Cricetulus griseus: one gene and its partner. The protein of the gene in region 2 interacts with the protein of the main gene of each other region in a biochemical or structural test. Links are inferred from orthologs where the notes say so. Each region holds a gene or a part of one and is shown on either strand. Other genes may lie near its edges.

Evidence for each region. The genes of interacting proteins can lie anywhere in the genome.
Region 1: the proteins of Efemp2 (region 2) and protein-lysine 6-oxidase form a complex in vitro, tested with the Homo sapiens proteins (2 studies listed by IntAct, with this or other methods). The link is inferred for Cricetulus griseus from reciprocal best matches to the Homo sapiens genes EFEMP2 and LOX.

The regions. Positions count from the first base shown.
Region 1 is NC_048595.1:186,109,546-186,115,942, reverse strand, and holds the start of protein-lysine 6-oxidase, read right to left. Parts: upstream 4,139-6,397; coding exon 3,526-4,138; intron 3,210-3,525; coding exon 3,101-3,209; intron 1,805-3,100; coding exon 1,667-1,804; intron 1-1,666. UniProt on the Homo sapiens protein: Responsible for the post-translational oxidative deamination of peptidyl lysine residues in precursors to fibrous collagen and elastin. Regulator of Ras expression. May play a role in tumor suppression. Plays a role in the aortic wall architecture.
Region 2 is NC_048596.1:53,862,648-53,868,849, reverse strand, and holds the start of Efemp2 (EGF-containing fibulin-like extracellular matrix protein 2 precursor), read left to right. Parts: upstream 1-1,960; 5' UTR 1,961-2,250; coding exon 2,251-2,361; intron 2,362-2,597; coding exon 2,598-2,646; intron 2,647-3,263; coding exon 3,264-3,470; intron 3,471-4,835; coding exon 4,836-4,958; intron 4,959-5,199; coding exon 5,200-5,316; intron 5,317-5,444; coding exon 5,445-5,564; intron 5,565-6,202. UniProt on the Homo sapiens protein: Plays a crucial role in elastic fiber formation in tissue, and in the formation of ultrastructural connections between elastic laminae and smooth muscle cells in the aorta, therefore participates in terminal differentiation and maturation of smooth muscle cell (SMC) and in the mechanical properties and wall integrity maintenance of the aorta.

The DNA of each region.
Region 1 (6,397 bases), on a different chromosome or scaffold from region 2:
ATCTTCTTGGATTTTTTTTTAGATTTATTTATTTTATGTGTGTGAATGTTTTGCCTGCAAGTTATATGTGCACCATGTACATGCCTGGTGCCTGAGGAAGTCAGAAGAGGGCTTTCAATCCTTGAAACTGGAGATGAGATATGGATGGTTGTGAACCACCATGTGGGTACTGGGAATCAAACCTGGGTCCTCTGTTAGAGCAGCAAGTACTCTTAACACTGAGCCATCTCAGCCAGGCAGTGGTGGGGAGGCAGAGACAGGCAGATCTCTGTGAGCTCCAGTCCAATCTGGTCTACAAAGCTACACAGAAAAACCCAGTCTCAACAAATAAATAAATAAATAAATAAATAAATAAATAAATAAATAAATACTGAACCATCTCTCCAGCCCAACCCACTTCCCACCCCTGTTTTTGTTTTTGTTTTTGGACAGGGTCTCACAGTGTAGCTCTGGCTGTCCTGAAACTTACTCTGTAGACCATTTTGGCCTTGAATTCAGAAATCTACCTGCCTCTTTCTCCCAAGCTCTGGGACTAAACGCATGTGCCATCAGACCTCTCTACCAAGTTTATCTTCTTGAAGAAATATTCGTGCTAGATTTTTTTTCAAGAAAGACATAAATGTATCAAAATTGCAAACTTTTAACTTTATTTCTTGGTAAAGACAGAGTATCTGTTCCTTTATACAGGGTTTTGTCTTTGAACATTAAATTAAGATAAACTTCATTATCTATGCTTGTAACCTGTGGAGTCTCATGTTTATTTCTTTGGCTCACACTGCTGATGTTGGTGTTATGATGATGATTTCAGACAAGAGTTTTACTCTGGAGGGCTTGCTATGAAAGTCTAAAGACTAGAGTGACAACGTTGTAAAATCTCTTTGGAAATGCAAGAGGAAAATAACTGGGTTTTTCTACTACTATTATTTAAACAGCACAAACTTTCATTTCAAAATAAGGTATTTTTATTTTAATATGCAAATTGTGCATATTAAATTTTCTCTATTCATTAACTAGAAGGCTTCTGAGCTCTTTCTCATCTCACAAGGGGGAGAGGCTACAAGGAGGAAGGGTTTGAATTTCTGTAAGTAGGAGACCACACTTCAGGGTTTCCTGGCACTGAACAGTTGGGCACATTACCTAGGCAAATGATGGTATAACCACGTGCAATTTAAAAATGAAAACCTTTAAATTTAGAAAGGGTAGGGCAACCACTCTAGCTGATATGGGCCTTTCAAAAGGTGGAAGTGGATGGGTTCTTGAAATCTATCTCGTGTGTGTTCCATTGAGAATGGTCTCTGAATCCTATAGGTAAAAGATGCTGTGCATTTATTAAATGCTTGTTAAGGCTAACCAGCTTTGGATGAGCTTGTAGATGATCTTATCTATAGCAGCTATTTCTACATAATAGTAGATTGTACTGACAGCCACTGTTGTGTCCTTTCAACAGTTTTAAAGAGCCTGGCTTAACTTTCCAGGTACAAAGATAATGGGATTTAGTGGTGAAGGGGCTGTCTTTAAGGTTTAACATCCGTTGATGATATCAAACCGAATAGTAGAAGTTCTAAGTATAAACAATACCAAATCTCTAGCTTTAGGTAAGGCATGTGAATAATCGTCTGAAAAATGTAAGAGAATCCCAGAAGTACGGAGAGGCCCATCCACTTACTGGTGACAGCTGTGCCACTCCCAGGAATATCGAGGACGGCTTGGTAAAAAGTCAGATGTGCCTTGGTTTTTCACTCTTTGGGGAAATCGTAGCAGTACCCTGTGATCATAGTCTCTGACATCCGCCCTATATGCTGAACTGGGAGTTTAGAAAAGAAACATTAGATCCAGTGAATACCGATGAAAAAACAAAACTAGAACAAACAGCTCACCATTACATGGTAGTGGCACACTGTCCCCCTTTCCCCAACTAGCCTCATGGCTCAAAGAGACAATCTTGAGCTCCTGTCCCATCCTGGAAGGATAAAAACATAGTGACTATGTGGTGAATGAGTGGATGAAGAACAACAGTAAAAAACCTACAGAGCCAGAAATTAGGATTTCCACTGAAAAAAATTATTGACAAGATACTACATCTAAAAACTATGAAATTGCTATAGTAATGATCATGTGCCAAAAAATCCATAGATATCTATTAATAAGTTGATAGACCTAAGATACAAAGTGGAGAAACACTCCAAAGTAAGGCAGCTAGCTTTAGATAGATAGGTAGATAGATAGATAGATAGATAGATAGATAGATAGATAGATAGATAGATAAACAGCTTTATGCTTCATTATAAGACAGGGAACCCTTCTTTAATATCTTCCGTGGGTTCAGTGGTGTGGATCATGCAAGACTCGGGAATGAAAATGAGCTTGAATTTCTTCCTGTAGCCACACGGTTGTACAAAAGTCAACGTGGAAAAAATGTTTATATAAACACTTCTGGGATGGTACTATATTTTTGTCTGTCTGGCTTGGAATACTGTTGGTGACCCATTTTACTTAAAGTACCACTAGAACTATGCAAGCATCCTATGCTCCCTCTGCTGGTTGCCAGCCGCAAAATCGGAGAATTCCAAGTCCAGAATAGCTGTTTTATTTTGGGACTGACGGAAAATATAATTCTTGCTCATGGTCTTATACCAAAACAACCCAGTTAATCATGGTCTGAAAGAAATGTGGAATGCGGTCTTTACCAATGGGGGGCGCCACCATGGCGAAGACACCCCTAGACCATTGGAGAATAATAACGAGCGCTTCCTTTCTATTTTTCCGGGGTTGTTGATTGTTGAGTTCCTCTTTTATAGAAAGCTGTTGGAAATAGTTGGCGCCAATTTCTAATAGGAGCCTTGGGAAAGAACCTGAGACCCAGTCTCCAGAATACGAATTTTTGCCCCCTCCCCCGATACGAGCCTCTTAATGAGGCGGCACCCATAAAAACATTCCAATTTAACTTTCTGTCCAAGTCAGCATGCCCAGGAGGTCACGTCCCACTTTCCCAGCCCTTGCCCCACTTCCTAGCCCTTGTCTGCACTAACATAGCAGTCAGAACTAGGCGTCAGGGTGATCCCGGGATCAAAATGGGGAGCCGGGCTGTGGAAATCCATACCTGGCCAGGCAGTTCTCTTCCGCAGCGCATCTCAAGTTGTACATAGACATCTTCTGCACATATGTAGATGCCTGGATGTAGTAGGGGTCCGGCACCAGGTCCGGAAGACCTAAAAATAAGACAAGGAGGTGACCTCTGACTCCAGGGCCTCTCTTTGTCACCCTTTGCCCATCAAGTCCGCAGGGTGGGGCTGAGTGTGTGGAAGAGCAGGGACCTCCAACGCTAGCAGGGAACGGGAAGAGGAAGCCCCGGAGCCAGGGGAGCGGTTTCCATCGGATTCCAGAGCTGGCAGGGCAGGCGATGGGGAAGCAGGGGGGTCGGGTCTGCGGGGATCGAGCCCGCTGCTCTCAGACCGCCACGTCTAGACATCATCGACCTGCAGTAAGGGAGCCCAGGTGCATCCGGTGGAACTGCGTGGTGCTTACCATACTGGAAGTAACCGGTGCCGTATCCGGGTCGGTACCTGCTCCCAGGCCGGGGCCTCTCATATGTGTCATAGTAGTTATAATAGGGATTGTCGTCGGAGTATTTGTAGGGATTGTAGGGGTCGTCGCCCACCATGCGGTCTACGTGACTGGGAGGCCTCAGGTTACTGAGTTGCGGGGGCTGAGGCGACTCAGTCCGGTTCCCCGCGCGCCGTGAAGCTCCATCGCGAGCCCCCGACGGCGAGAAGCCAGCTTGGAACCAGTGGCGGGCAGCGGGCCGGGGACGGCCGGGGGCGACCCCAGACGGGCTTGGTGTCCGCGCGCGGGCAGTGGCCGTGCGGTTGTCACGCAGCAGCAGAATGGGCGTGCGCGGCTGCGGGGCGGCATTGCCGTCGGGTCCTGGGGCAGTGGCGCTGGGGTCGCGGCGTCTCTGGGGCTGATACTGTGCCCCCAGGCTCAGCAGACTGAACACCTGCCCATTGTTCTCCCATTGGATTGTCTGGCGCCAGGCGCCCGGGGCGGCGGGTGGCTCGCGCGGGGCCTGTGGGGCGCAGCGTAGAAGGGGACAGAGCTGCAGCGGCCCCAACAGAAGCATGGTCCAGGCGAAACGCATGGCTCTTCTGGATAGTCCCTTCTCGGGGAGGACCTGGCTAGGAGAAAATGCAGACAGAACTCTGATCCCGCGAAGGAAGGAGACCTCTTGAGGCAGGGCCGGGAGGAGGGTGAGGCGCGGGGATGGGTCGCAGTGCGTTGTGCCAAGGACGGACAGCAGACCCTGCCCCCAGCCCAGGCGGCCGTCGGACGTGGCACGGTCCTTCTCTCCGCTTTCCCAGTCCTGAAAGGCGACGGGGAGCGGCGCACGACGGTCCCAGAGAGCGCACAGTGTCTGGAGTAAAAGAAGGGGGGAGATTTTAAACTTTCTGACAAGTTTGCAGTTACACAAGCCGTTCTGGCCCCGCTGCCCCTCCGCTATTTGTTCACGTAATGCGATTGGAAACGTGCGAGGCGGACAGCTCCTCCACTCTGCCCCTCCTCCCCTCTCCGCCCCACTCCCCTCCTCCCCAGACACGTTGCACAGGGAGAGTTAAGGGGAAAGAACAAAACGGAACACACATCCTGAGACACACTCGACTTAATCTGGGCCGAACATGCAGGAATTTCAAAAGACTCAGACAGGCGAAGGCAGCCAGGCCATGGGCTCAAGCCAAAATATGCATGAAGAAAAATGCTATTAGGTCACCAGCCCCGGAGAGGCGGGAAGTCAAGAGGTGGGGAGAGCGATGGGGCCAAAGTGTGCCTGTTGAGATGGGGGAGGTTGTGACTAACGCTTATCCATAGAGAAGTTAACCAGACGAATTTCCCAATGCACACTCACCCCGCTTTTATGGGAAGCGCCCTCAGCAAATAAACCCCAGGATATCAAATTTTGTTTTTCTGGCTGTAGGTAATATGAGAAATGGGTTACAAATCTGTTTCCTACAGTGAGTATTTTAATAACCAAAGTGAAAATTTACAGGGAACAAAGTTTGCTACGTTGAAGCAGTGAATAACCCCCCCCTCTCTCTCTCTCTCTCTCTCTCTCTGTGTGTGTGTGTGTGTGTGTGTGTGTATGTGTGTGTGTGTGTGTGTGTGTGTGTGCCTTTCTGTCTCATAACCGGCCTCATTTGTACTGTATGGGAGAACTAGAGGAAGGTCAAAAGAGTGCTCAAAGTCGTCTTCAAGTGACCTTTTTATTTGATTTCTTACTCTTTCTCTCATGTGTCTAATAAGGTTTGACTTCACTCGTCCAACTCAAATTACCAATATTAAATATTGAAACCCAGTAAAGTATTCAGCAGCTTTTAATTCCTCTTCCAATCTAAGCAAAGGCATTACAAGAGAAAGAGCCTTTGAGGTCAGAGTTGAGTGCAAAGAAGGCAGTAGGTGTGGCCAGGAGAATGAGTAGGAGGGTAGTGGGCAACTGGAGAGAGATGCTTAATAGACCAGCTATTCACATCCCACTCAGGGTCTGGGAAGCTCTGAACCAAATTCAAAGAGAAATTGCCACTAAGTGGCCCTATTTAAACTACAAGGCAAAAACCACAGTTTAATATCCATTTTTATTGGTCCCATCATTGAGCTGTTGTCTAGACACACTTTAATCTCACCTCTTCATCTCTGTCTTTCCATAACTGATCACGAGGTGGTTTGGTGGCCATCTTCTAGTTTGACTGCTTCATATCCATGTCCCCTTTATTTCTGTTCCTTGGGAAACTCTGCCCCAGATCTCTCACACCCCACCTCCACCCCACCCTTACCCCTTACCCCTGTAGTGAGTTTGGACTGACAAGGCATTCATGAGACTTCTTCAAGAACTGGTCATGAGATCTGAGTTTGTCCTAGTTAAACCATCTTCCTAGAATCTTAATGTCAAGTTGGTCACATGGCCAAAAATATTCCTCCTCCCACTGCTAGAAAAGTGACATCCTCTGGCTCTTCAACATTCCCTTCAGGTTCTCTGGTACATTCTTTTGTGGATTAACATAGTCATAGTTTCTTTCATCTGTCACAGGAGAATCCTGACTGACATAGAGGGGGGTGGGCCTGTTTCTTTCCGCTAGTTAAATCACATGGGTCTGGTTTTTGAGTCAAGTTAGATGGAGTCTGTAAACGACCATATACCTTGGTCACCAAGGGATAGGACACAGAATTTTGCCCACATGTGGTAAATCTATTGCCTATACGATGAACATAAACTTTAGGTACAAATTCCCTCATGGCAACTCAACAGTGAATGCTTTTCTGAACAAAGCCATCTCTAAGATAATGCAAGTTGTCATTTTACTGTCTGGCTAAGCAGCATAAAATTAACTACTTGATTTCTCTAGACCTG
Region 2 (6,202 bases):
GAGCCTGACCTGGAAAAGGTCCTGCCATACCCACAGGTCTGGGGGGTTGGGGTCCTTGACATGGCTATGTTAATATCAATAATACACATTCACTCAAGACTTCACTCACTCCCCATGCCTTTCTTGTCTCTCTGTGCTTTGTTCTACGTGGTGTGTGTGTGTGTGTGTGTGTGTGTGTGTGTGTACTGGGATTGAACCTTGGAGTCCTCGTCATCCTAAACAACATGGTACCACTGAGATACACCCCTACTCCTCTACTGCTTTAAAAACAAAACAAAACAAAAAACAGGGCTGTAGAAATGGCTGCAGTATTCCTCTTTCAGATGACCTGAATTTGGTTCTCAGCACCCACATCAGGCAGCTCAGAGCTGTCAGTAACTCCAGATCCAGGGAACACCTCTGGCCCCTGGGCACCTGCACTCAGGTATGTATACCAGTACATAGATGCACACATAATTAAACACATCATTAAAATATTTTTCTTTAGAAAAAAAACAAAGGCAATGGAAGCCGGGGAGGTAGCTCACTACAAAACATGAAGGCCTGAGTTCAGATTCTCAGCACCAGCACAAAAGCCAATTGTGGTGGTGATGCCTGTGTGAAACCCCAGTGCAGGAGGTCCTGGGAGGTGGAGACGGGCAGAAATAGTGAACTCTAGATTCAGTGACACAATATCCTACACTGGTACGTAGGCACACAGGGATATACTACATATAGACAAGTCCTTGAAATGAGGCAAATACATTTTTTAAATCATGGCAGAGCTGGGCATGGTGACACACGCGTTTCATCCCAGCACCTGGGAGGCAAGAGGCAGGTGGATCTACATAGTGAGTTCCAGGACAGCCAGAACTACTTGTGAGAACCTGTCTCGAAAAGATAAAACAAAGAAAGAAAGACTGGAAAGAGGTTGGGTAAGGGAAAGGAAGGTCAGGCTATTGCCGTAACCAGCAAGGGCCAGGCAAGGGAACCCTGGACACGCAGTCCTTTCCCGTCTAGTCCCGCCCTGAGACGTGGGCAACGCGAAGTCCCGCCCATTCGCCCCTTCCTGGGAGCCGGAGGCACACCGGCTCCTCCCTCAAGGCATGATCTTTGCTGGGGACCAAGACGGAAACTGGGTGGGGGACCTGAAGGGAAAGAGGGTCGGAAAAGGGCTGGCAGTGGGCCCTAGTGTCCTCTGCGCCCAAGTTCAAGTTTGCCAGTTTCTCGGGGGTTCCATTCATTTCGGGCCAAGACGACAGCTGCCCTCACCCCCACATTAGCGTAGCTTTGTGCAGGCAGGCTCCGGGGAAGCAGTGCCCTGAGTAGAGCGACCACCTGGAGGCCGCGGAGCTCATGGCCGGAGGGAGAGGGACAATTAACTTTATGTCCGGAAACCTTGGATGAATGTTTGAGACCATCTAACTGATGATGTGGGGAGCACAGGATAAAATTCTGCAAGTAGTAGGATTTGGAGGTTTGAGAAAATAAGTGGCGAGTAGGTTCTGAGAGGCGCAGATTCAGGGTCTGGGTGTTTAGCTACAGCTGAGGTGCGAGTGCACACTCAGGGATTCTAGAGGACCAGGTTGGATAGGGTCTAGGTGGCTAGGACAACATTTTGAATGAGGGCCCGGGGTCCCCAGGTGAATTTGGGGGCCAAACATCAAGGTCAGTGGCCCCGGGACCCAAGCGTTAGGGAACTCTGGCTGGGCGCCCGCAGGCGCCTCCAGGCGGCGCCGCGGGGGACCGGGTGGGGGCCTGTGGCCGGCCCGGGGTGGAGAAGCCGGGGGGTCGGGGTCCCTCCCCCTGGCGCGGGCTCAGGAATCCGCCGAAGGGCGGGCGGAGGCGCCGGGGTGGGCCGCGGCGGGCGGGCGGGCGGGCGGGCGGGCGGGCGGGGGCGCTTCCTGGGGCCGCGCGTCCAGCGAGCTGCGCGGTCCGGTCCGTCCGTCCGCCCGCAGGCACTGCCGGAGTCAACGAGTGAGTGGCCGCCAGCGGAGGGAGGGCGCGGGCCGTGTCGCGGCCGGGTCCGCGCTACGCCAAGCCGAGAGGCCTGCGCTCCACGACTCGCGGGGCGGGGGCGGGGCGGTCCGGGATTGCGGGCCTGCGAGCCCCAGGCCTGCGAAAGGACTCGGCCCCCAACTCTGGAAGGCTCCGGTGCTCCCAGCACAGTTCTGAGACAGCCGGGAATCCAGTGTCCCCTTCCTGATACAGGGAATGGGGGGTGTCGTGGCAGAGGCCCCTGACCCCTGCCCACTACCTCCCAGCCCCAGGATGCTCCCTTTTGCCTCCTGCCTTCCCGGGTCTTTACTGCTCTGGGCGCTCCTGCTGTTGCTCTTGGGAGCAGCGTCTCCACAGGATTCGGAAGAGCCGGACAGCTACACGGTGGGGACCAGCTTGGGATGGGATGGGATGGGATGGGATGGGATGGGATGGGATGGGATGGGAAGGACCAGGATCTTGGGGTGCCTGGGGAAGACTCTCCTCTGCTTGGTTGGTGGAAGACTGGGAGTCATTGTGTGAATTGACCCGAGCATAACTGAGCTCAGGCCCTGGCCTTGTTCTGGCTAGTTGGAGGAGACTTCCAGAGTGGTCACTGGCCACTTGGGGTCCCCTTCCAGGAATGTACAGATGGCTATGAGTGGGACGCAGACAGCCAGCACTGCCGGGGTGAGTATGCCTGGGATACTAGCCATTTTCAGGAACTGGGAAGGCAACTATTGTTTCCCAGGGATAACCTGGCTCCTAGACCAGCTGCAGGAACCTAATGGCCTTTTCACTGTCCAGCTTGGCTGAGCCAAAGCCAGCCACTCAATTAGGAGTCCTACCCCTTCAAGAAGTGCAATGAACTCTGCCTCTATTTGCAGTAGACAGGAGAGCACCTGGTGACTGCCCAGAGAAACGGAGATCTGCACACCTTCCGCCAACTGCCCTCTACTCTCCTAGCCCAGCTCTTTATCCCAGTGCAACCTGGGAGAGCAGTACACACTCTGTGGGTTTGGAGGCCTGCAAATTACTCTGGGGCAGAGGTAGAGGCAGGGTTTTGAGGAGGAATGGAAACTCACTTGGAGGCAGGAGAATAGGGACAACGGCGAAAATAGGTGGCCCTATCCCCAGTCCTGCAAATCACTGGGAGGGGTTCTGGGTCATCAGCCTTAATTTGCTGAGCAGAGAGAAAACCTTGCTCTGTTGCTCAGCTTAGAGAAGGCCAAGCTGGGATTCTGCCTCCCACTACCTCCAGGGCCAGCCCAGGTGACTGGCTGTGCCCAGCAGGCCCCTTTCTGCAGATGTCAACGAGTGCCTGACCATCCCCGAGGCCTGCAAGGGCGAAATGAAATGCATCAACCACTATGGGGGCTATTTGTGTCTGCCTCGATCTGCGGCTGTCATTAATGATCTACATGGCGAAGGCCCTCCACCACCAGTGCCCCCTGCTCAACACCCCAATCCTTGCCCACCAGGCTATGAACCTGATGAACAGGAGAGCTGTGTGGGTAAGTGGGAGCCATGCTGGCTGGCACCAATGCTTCCAGACCTCTTACATGTCTTTTTAAAATTAATTTTGTATTTAGTGTATAAAGTAAAAAGAAAAGTAAAAACCAAAAGAAAACAAAGGGGGGCGCTGGAGAGATGGCTTAGAGGTAAAGAGCACTGGCTGCTCTTCCAGAGGACCTGGGTTCAATTCCCAGCAACCACATGGTGGCTCACAACTGTCTGTAATTCTAATTCAGGGGACCTGGTACCCATGGCAAAACACCAATGCACATAAAATAAAAAAGTAAATTTAAAAATAAATAAAAGAAGCAAAGTGAAAGTTTTTAAAATCATGGTATCATTCTCCTGACACACTTCATATTTGTTCTCTCTCATTGTCCCTCCCTAGCACCTTGTTCTTCGAGATAGGATTTCTCTGTGTAGCCCTGGCTGTCCTGGAACTCACTCTGTAGTCCAGGTTGGCCTAGAACTTAGAGATCTGCCTGCCTCTGACTCCCTAGTGCTGAGTGCTGGGACTAAAGGTGTGTGCCACCACTGCAGGACTGTGTACTTTGTTTTTTGAGACAGAGTCTCTGGGTTTGATCCCCAGCACACACTTGTAATCCCACCACCAGGGAGGTAGAGAAAAGAAGATTGGAAGTTAAAGGTTACCTCAGTTGCATAAGGAGTTTGAGGCCACCCTGAGCTACATGAGAGCCTATCTCAAAAGCAGTAACTAACATAAATAAAGTAATTTTCCACACTAAATACCGCAGACCTCATGTTCCTTCCTTGCTGAGAGAAGCCTCTGGCTCCTCAGAGAAACATCTGAACCCTCACCTGCAGCAGGCCTGGTGCATGGTCTGCTGGCCCAGGAAGTCCCCAGCAGCTCCCTCACTTCCTGTGCAGACATGCTAGAGCTCTGCTCCCAGCCTCTTGCCAGCTCTTTATCAGGTCTCGGCCTTGGAAACCGCTGGCTTTGGAGGAGGGAAGATCCTGGTCTAGAGTCAGCTGAGGGTGTGAATGGACAACGCCTCATTTATTTTTAAGCCAGTTCTAGCTGGCTTGGAACTCTATAGCTCTGGCTGGCTTGGAACTCAGAGGGATCCTCCTGCTTCTGCCTCCTGGGTGTTAGAATTAAAAGTGTGTGCCACCAGACCTGACAAGGCCTTGTTTTATATGCTCAGCTAATGGGTGCTTTTCCTGGTGGACTGTTTTCTTGTGCTGTTGGGAGGACCTATATCCTATCTTCATATTTTGGTGCCAGCTACCCATGTGCCCATGTGAATGAAGTCTGGTGTGAGCCACCTCCTTCCAAGTTGATGTGCTGACATGGTCAGTAACATGTGGGACTCTGGGTAAGGGCTGCATGGTGTCTCCCACAGATGTGGACGAGTGCGCCCAGGCTTTGCATGACTGTCGCCCTAGCCAAGACTGTCATAACCTGCCTGGTTCCTACCAATGCACCTGCCCTGATGGTTACCGAAAAGTTGGGCCCGAATGCGTGGGTGAGTTCAGAGAGTGGCTTTCCTAGTTCTTGCTTTGTGACTTTGGTCTGACCTTATCCTTATCCTAGTCCTCTGCTGCTGGTACCCTCCTGTCATTAGACACAGAAGACTATATGTCGGTGGCTCAACTCAGGTCCCTGAAAAAGACAGGAGTAAGCATGCGTGCTGAGGCCTTTGTCTCGGCCTGCTCAGGCCCCACCTGACTTGTGTCCTGCTTACCCCTCCCCTGCCTCCATTGCAGACATAGACGAGTGTCGCTACCGATATTGCCAGCATCGATGTGTGAACCTGCCAGGCTCTTTTCGCTGCCAGTGTGAGCCAGGATTCCAGCTGGGTCCTAACAACCGTTCTTGTGTGGGTGAGACTCTGGGGTCCTAGGTAGAGATGTATGGGATAGGGGCAGGATCTCCTCACTAAGCCCATGTAGAGTGGGACTCTGGGCAGTGCCTCTGCTTTCACCACTCCTGTTTTCTCTGGCATCCTCAGATGTGAATGAGTGTGACATGGGAGCCCCATGTGAGCAACGCTGCTTCAACTCCTATGGGACCTTCTTGTGTCGTTGTAACCAAGGCTATGAACTGCACCGGGATGGCTTCTCCTGCAGTGGTGAGAGTCCACTTGTGCTGCTGGATAGTGCATTGGTCCTCCCAGGACCAACTCTAGTCACACAGTCGTTTGTTTGAGGCTTCCATGTCTCATTCTCTGTATCCTGAGCTGGTCGCTGAGGGTGGGGATGCTATGGGAGGCCCTACTGAAGCTTGCTGGAGAGACAGGAAAGGATGTAGGTGCCAGTCTTCCTGGAAGTTGAGTTGACTTGCACTGGAATCCTGCACTAGGACAAGTCTCTCTTCTTTCTGGGCACATTTCTATTGTAAATAGGTTGTTTGGATATGGAGAGGGACCATGATAAAAGGCTTCATCAAGTCTCAGGCAGCAAAAGTGGGGAGCACCACTTGTTTATAACTTACATTCTCATTTAGTCTGGTCAATGGTGATTTGCTTTTGCAAACAGGACACTAATTCCTCCAGGTATGTTGGCAGAATTGTAAAAAAGCAAGCAAAAAGCCCAGAGAAAATGGTACCTTTCATCTTTCCACTTAGAGATGAAGTGACTTGTCAAAGTCCAGACAGAAAGGATGAGATGGGACCAGGGCTTGATCCCAGGCTTCTCGCCATGTTGCCCAGCGTGCCCCCCATTTATTTTATGCTATTCTGTGAAATACATCATTGGTGTTCAGCTGCCT